Linked DNA regions of Caenorhabditis elegans. The protein of the gene in region 1 purifies or fractionates together with the protein of each later gene. This does not show direct contact. Each region holds a gene or a part of one and is shown on either strand. Other genes may lie near its edges.

What was found. The genes of interacting proteins can lie anywhere in the genome.
Region 2: the proteins of cpn-4 (region 1) and srh-56 fractionate together in Caenorhabditis elegans (co-fractionation; one large-scale study listed by BioGRID). This does not show direct contact.

What each region holds. Positions count from the first base shown.
Region 1 is NC_003279.8:10,924,011-10,927,765, forward strand, and holds cpn-4 (Calponin-homology (CH) domain-containing protein), read right to left. Parts: upstream 1,741-3,755; 5' UTR 1,737-1,740; coding exon 1,623-1,736; intron 1,155-1,622; coding exon 1,072-1,154; intron 709-1,071; coding exon 582-708; intron 523-581; coding exon 445-522; intron 393-444; coding exon 330-392; 3' UTR 230-329; downstream 1-229. Other genes in the region: F49D11.10 (WD_REPEATS_REGION domain-containing protein), read right to left, coding at 3,079-3,345.
Region 2 is NC_003283.11:2,770,242-2,773,996, forward strand, and holds srh-56 (Serpentine Receptor, class H), read left to right. Parts: upstream 1-1,618; coding exon 1,619-1,964; intron 1,965-2,025; coding exon 2,026-2,216; intron 2,217-2,539; coding exon 2,540-2,770; intron 2,771-2,948; coding exon 2,949-3,027; intron 3,028-3,090; coding exon 3,091-3,278; downstream 3,279-3,755.

The DNA.
Region 1 (3,755 bases):
ATTATCCTATGACAACAATTCAACTTTTGAAGTTACGCAGTCTATAAGGAGACTCGTAAAAGTACATAGAGCCCCGTAAATCCACATCGAGCGCCGTAAATCTACATGGATCCTCGTAAATCTACATGAACCCCCGTGAATCTACATAGAGCCCCGTAAATCTACATTGAGCACCGTAAATCAGCAGGAAAATCCTTGGCGGCATTGCAGAACTTTTCAGAAAAAATTTGGAAGAAAAATCTTTATAAAAAGTGAATTGGGAACAGAAAGTGAATAAAAGTAAATTTCGAAAAAAGATTGAAGCCGATATGAAATGGAAAAAATTTAAATTATTGATTGACGATTTGGTCCTTGGAAACTTGCTTTGGTGGCGTGATTCCGAGCTTTTCGACCTGAAATTTGGAGTTTTTCAAATCAATTTGCAAATGAAAACCAAATTATTACCTTTCTAGCCAAGCTCTGAAGGGTTACTGTAACGGAGAAAAGGTCACGGCCATCGAACAAGTCGACAGATTGGAATGTCTGAAAAAATGAAGATTTGAATTTTGAACATCGCGCCAAAAGTATATGGTAGATTAAACCTCTTCATCCTTGACTCCGAGACTTCTGGCGGCAGTGGAAAATTGATTAATGTTCTCGAGACAGTTGAAATTGGAAATTGGCTTCATGATCTTCTTCACACTTCCTGCTTTGATGGCGTTGACGAGTCTGGAATAGGGTTACTGTAAATAGCTCATTCGTAAAGCTAGGTGCTCCGTAAATCTACATAGTTTTGTAAGCCGTAAACCTACATGAACTTTCGTAAATCTACATGAACTTTTCGTAAACTTTTCGTAAAAACACAAAGTCTGGTAAAGACAGTTTTTTTTAGAGACTTTATTGTTCTAGGTTCTAGGAAAATAGGATCCAAAGTGTTCAAACAAACATAATCACAAAACAGAAAATAAAATCTCAAAATCACATCACCTTAAGCTCACAGAGCATCTCACATTTCCCAAACAGTTCGTGATTATTATTGACATTTTGCATCCCCCAACTCTACGTACAAATAGACAAAAAAAAGACACTCACTTGCACAATCGTTGCCCGTCTTTGAGCTGCTCGCGAAAATTGTCCCGAGATGCTTCACAGTCGAAATCCTCTTTTGTCAAGTCCTGAAAAGAATTTGAAATTATATTGGTGTTTTTCAGGGGGATGAGTAAATCTTGAAGAAACTCTGTAAATCTACAAAAGGCTCCGTAAATCTACAATAAATTGTGAATACTACAAAAGCTCCGTAAAGCTACATGAATCATCGTAAATCTACGCATATATCTGTAAATCTGAAGCGGCAATTCTACACTTAACTTTATAGGCTTACATGGAGTTTTGTAAATCTACCTGATATCTATGTACAATGTTATCACGTATATCTACCTGAACTTGCATAAATCTACACAGAGTCTTGTGAATCTACATTTCACTGACCGTAAGTATACACTTAACTTTACAAATCTATGTGGAGCTTCGTAAATCTACATGTATATATGTAGACATTAAACTTTTGTAATTCCATATAAAGTAAAACTACATCACTCTCTAGTAAATCCACACTGAACTCCGTAAATCTACCCAAATCTTACCCGAATCCATTCCAACAAGTATCCAGCTTCAACATCATTGAACTTGCTTGCCTGTTTGTCCAAAATGGCTCCGGCCATACCGGCTGGTCTTGGTCGATGATAACTTTGTGACATTTTTGCTAGAAAGTCTCAAATTTTAGGCAAAAATTTTCAACAAAAAGTAGAGTATAAAAGTATAAATCAGTAAGAAAAATCAAATTTCGAAGATTTTCGAAACTTAAAACAAAGGAGGTGGCAAAACTGGTTGTGCCTGTCTTGTTGCTCGTCGAGCTCTGACTCTAGGATCTTGCTCACCGAGCTCCTATTTATATTCTTGACTAAACTGTCTGCGTCTCGTCGAATCTGTACACTATTTCCAAAAGGTTAGTGTTGATTTTTGCGCGTGTGGGTGGACGCTAGAGCCGACTCATCCGCGGGAGGTGAGCCCCCGAATTTCAATGGGCGGAGTCAGAGCCCCAAGGAGGGGATGAATTTCGAAACAACAAGAGAGTGAGAGCTCGAGCACAGAACATTCCAGAACGTTTTTTCGTTTTTTTTTTTTGGAAGGGAACGGTTGAAAGTGATTGACACTTGAGAGAGAGATGGGGGATACACAAAAACCTGTATTATTGACCTATTGACTCTTTGCAACTTTTGAGCAACTCAACTGTGTCTGTGTTGAAAGTGAAGTGATAAATTTGAAAAATAAAAGTAAATGTTAGTATTTGCCATCATTCTCTAGATATTAAATCTTTAATTGCTGATAAAGCCCGATTGAAAGTAGGCCTAGAGTTGGACTTGCCAGTAGGCTTAGATTTAAGATTAGGCTCAGGCTTGAGCTTAGGCTTAAGCTTGGGCTTGTCTGGTTTAGGCTGATATTCAAAATTAGGTTTAAGCAAGGGCTTAGGCTTAGGCTCAGGCAAAGGCCCGATCCTAATTTCCACCTCTACTTCTACTGGTTTCTTTGGAGTTTCTGTAGACTTCACAAGAAATTTTATGGCCTGCCTAAGCCTAAGACCAAGCTCAGGCCTAAGTCCAGGCCTAAACCTAAGCCTAAACCTACGCCTAAGCCTACACCTAAACCTAATTTTAGGCCTAAGACTAAACATGAGAAAAAGCCTAAGCCTACGCCTATGCCGATTACGGTAGTTGACAGTCTGTGCATTTTCGCGAAACGTGTGTACTTCTCTCGGACAAGTTTAATATTTCATTGAAATTTTTTCTGTTTTTTTAAGGTACGTTTTGAAAGAAAATCATGCAAAATAAATAAAAATTTAAAAAAAACGAATTCATGAACAAATAAAATCAACAACGATAACAAATGTGTGTGTGTGATAACAAAAGGATTGTAGCATATGTGGAAGGGAAAAAAATTGAAAAAAAGAAAGGCAACAATAAAAAATGATTGAAACTTGTGAAAAAAAAAAACCAAAAACAAAAAGAGAGAGCGATGAATCAGAAAGTGTTCTAGATGCTTCTAGACACCACGTACAGGCGGTGGAAGCAACGATTTTTCGATAAAAAGTGGAGCGATGAACGAGATTGGAGGGAGCTGATGAACTGGTCCGGAGAATAAGCGGGCCGCTTCAGGCCTGGGTTGACGGACGAAAGCTTGATCCGATGTGACTGTGGATGGGCCAGCTGTTGATTTTGAGCCAAGTTGTTGGAATGGAGTCTGTGGAACTGCGATCTCTCCTGATCTTCCACTATTCTTGATGTGTGCAGGACGGTGACATATGATTCCCTGGAAAAGGTTAATTATTAGCCTGAATATCGAAAAGAAAAATGTAAAAATGTATAATGCGTTCGGGGGGAATCGAACCCCCGTCGAATGCTTGGAAGGCATCCATGCTGACCATTACACCACGAACGCGACGAAATACTTGCCTCCAGGAAGCCATTATAAAACTGACAGTTGTCGGGGGTCTCTCTTCCGCAACATCAAGCCCATTAAGACCCCGGTTACCCGCCGCGTTCGTGGTGTAATGGTCAGCATGGATGCCTTCCAAGCATTCGACGGGGGTTCGATTCCCCCCGAACGCAGATTTTTTTGGTTTAAAATACGCCAAAATTGTTTGAAAAAACAGTGGACTTTGGCAAATTTGAATTACCGCGTTTTTGTGTCTTAACTCCGCCCATTTTTCTGTGCCGCAC
Region 2 (3,755 bases), on another chromosome or scaffold:
TTTTTTATCCAGACAGTGGTTTTCTTAAAAAAAAACTTCGTACCTATAATTAAATTCTGATACCTCAAAAATTGAAAAATCGACCACACAACAGCTTCAGGACCCCTGAGGTTTTCAAAAACTTTACAAAAATTTACCATACTTTTAAAATAAGTATCAGATTGTTTAAATATTCAAATAACATTTAATTATGTAATTTGATGAAGAAGAAGTTTTTCTCTGAAAGATTCCTGGTCACGAAACATTTACAATTAACCATAAATCAAAAATTCAAGTCAGAAAAGTACTTGAACACGACCTTCTGGAGAAACGATTTCTGAGAAATAAGGAAATTGGGAAACTTGTGTACCCCGATTGATCAAATTAGCAGGTTTGTGGAAATGTATTACATCAACGATCAAATGTTTATCGGCGTGAAACAACTACCGCGCGGCTCATTTTATTGAACTTTTTGGCGAGTTCAGTCACATTTTGAAAGCTTTTACTTCTGAGTTTCATAAGTATGTAGTTTTTTGGAATATAACTAAATCTATTGGTTTCCAAAAAAATCTACTTAGATTTGGTAGAAAGTTCAATTTTTCTAGATTTGTTAGGTCGTCACTAAGTTTGCAAAAATAGCATAAATTTATGACATTTTCGAAGTTTGTTTGCATTTTTCTCGCTTCGGCAGCTAAGAAGCCACAGACAAAACACAGCAGGATACCTGATTTCTACTGCGGTGTAGTAGATTTCTGGTCAAATTAGAAGTCGAACAAATTATGAGGATCTACTTTTTTCAAACAACTATTCGAACTGAATCCGCTGAGTTTCTTCTAGCAATTCCTACAATTGTTTTTTTTGACATGTACCCCAAACCTTTGATTTTCAATTTTGACTTCATCTTCAGCACCGACTACTCTTAGTCCTTTCTTAGCCCGATAATTTGGATCAAACGTTACTTTTAGGTGGATAAGAAGCTCAATTTTTTTGAATAGGCCCTTGTTTGAATAGAATTAAAACCAAGTTTTTGTCCAATTGATAAATTTCCAGCTGTTGAACCTAGGATTCTGAAATGTTGAAATAAAAAGGTTTCTGTAAAAATTGAAGAACTAATTGTAAAGATTTTTCTGGTAAAGCCTCTATTCCGGACAAAAAATCAGGAAAGATGTGGGGTCCCATTTACTTTCCAATTAACCCGGGAAATGTCCGCTGCAAGACATCAGTTTTTTACACTTTTTTGCCGTATTGTTTTGCATCGCCAACCTAGATGATCATTTGATCTGTCACAAAACACATTTCCCTTTTTAAATGTCCCTAATCACTAACACAGCATTTAGCATTACATCGAAACTCCAAGTCAGAGCCTCCTAGAAAAATAAATTTCCGAGAAAAAAAAATTGAAAACTCCGCACCTCAAATTATCAAATTAGCAGGATTACGGTGGTATTACATCAACGATCAAGAATTTTTCGGCGCGTCCAACTCTACCGCGCGGATCATTTTACATGCAAATGGGGCTTTGAACTTTTAGGCTCTGGTTTTCTGGCTTTTTAAGGAATTTTTCTTGTAACGCTTAGCTTGTGAACACTTTCGGAATTCCTATCGAAACCTATTATATTAAACATCTTCCAGGAAACCAATGGCATGGCCAGACAACAACACCTCAAACTGCCGGGAAACCTACTCCTATTTTGGCTCGGCAGACTATCTGCGCAATGCATATCATTTCACAGCACTTTTAACAGTTCCTCTATCCATATTCACATTTTACACAGTTATAACAAAGACGCCAAAGCGGATGAAAAATATGAAAATCCCACTTTTAATATCCCTGGCTTGGAGCACAAATCTCGATTTGATGTTCACAGTGTACTCGGGGCCGTATATATTTTTTCCGAGTGCCTCCGGAGTACCCCTTGGGCTTCTAGGATATTTGGGAGTAGGTGTCAAGTGGCAGTCGTATTGGGGACAGGTTTCCGTCACTAGTAAGTTTTAGGATCTTTTAGGAAATTTAAATATAAATTTCAAATACCACATGTTTTTCAGTGATGGGTGTCTGTTTTATAATGCTCTATGAAAATCAACATAGTCAAATTTCCACGATTCGATTCAAAATCAAACGGAGAAAAACTCGTTTAACATATTTCGCATTAAACTATTTATTCACATTTGTTGTTATGCTTCCATTTTATCTAGACGACACTGACCAATTGAAAATGAGACAGAAGGTCTTGGAGGTTAGTAAAATGTACTAAAATGCCCATTCAGAGATATTAGAAATGTTCAAAAAATTTTATAAAATTTTATATTTAAAGTCAAAAATGTGAAAACTCTCAGTTTTCACATATCCTAATTTTGGAAGTCGACCAAAAGATTTTTTTTGAATTAATTGCGTTCTTATTAATAATATTGAAACATTCTAGGAGTTCAGATCTGCGGGAATTTTCAATTTTTTTCAAAAATGTCAATTTTTGAATAACTAAAAACTTTTGAAGTGTTTATTATATTTTTCGGTCGTGTGTATTTAACACCCGTCTTCAAATTCAACTTAATTTTACAGAGAATCCCCTGTCCGACGAGCGAATTCTGGGACCCAAAAACCTATGTACTGCTGCAGGGCGGAGAGGTCTTGCCATTCTGGTCAATCACAATTGGTTTTGGATTTGTTATTTTCCAAACTTTTTTCTTTTTGTTACACACCGTTTATCACCTCACACTAGTATCAAGTGCCAAAATATCGGCGGCGACGAAGAATCTTCAGCGAAAGTTTCTGAAGAATGTTTCTATTCAGGTGAGTATAACTATAACTGAAAATTAACTGGAATAGCCAAATGAAACTGCAAAAAAATGCAAAAAAAATTTAAATGGGTTTGTTTCAATTTTAAAAATTTAAAAATGTTTTTGACAAATTGAAAAACCACAAAATTTTTAAAATTTTAAACATTTAATTCTAGCATGTGTTTTTTTAGATCTCAATTCCATGGATTGCCATTGCATTTCCTGTGGCCTACACTATGTATGCAGACAAAATGAATTACTATAATCAAGGTGAGAAAGTGCAAATTATTTAAAAAAGCCAAAACATGGCTAACACGTTCCAAACTTTTGCAGCCTACAACAACAACGCTATGCTAATTATGGCAAATCACGGACTTCTATGCACCTGTTGCACCCTTTTTATTTACAAACCATACAGAGATTTCACTAAAAGTCTGATCCCTGGACAACGATTTTCACAACGGAGAATGACTATCATCGTGGAACCTGTGACGTCTCCACATGGAAGTGTGTCTAATTAGTTTTTTTTAAATTTTCGTTTTATTTGCCAAGCAAGATTTTTTTACAAATATTTAGTAAATATGTTTTTTTTGGACAAAACTTGACTATTTTCACTCGGGAAACAGATGCGCATCTTGCTAGTGAGAGCCATTTTGGCAATTTTGGCATATTCATCAATTTTGAAAAATTTTGGCAATTTCACGAATTTCAGCAATTTTGACAATTTATCCATATCGGCAAAGTTGTCAATTTTGGTAATTTCGATAACTCTAGGATTTCTGACAATTTTTTTCAATGTTCGCAAATTCAAACTTTTTGGCAGTTTTAAAATATTTGGGCAATTTGGACAAACTTAGAACTTTCACCAATTTCAGCAGTATCATGAATTTTGGCAATTTCGGAAGTTTTTTAACATTTTGGGCAGTCTTGGCAATTTAAGATTTTTGAAAATTTTCGGCATTTTTGAAAATTATGGCAATTCAGGTAACATTGCCGAT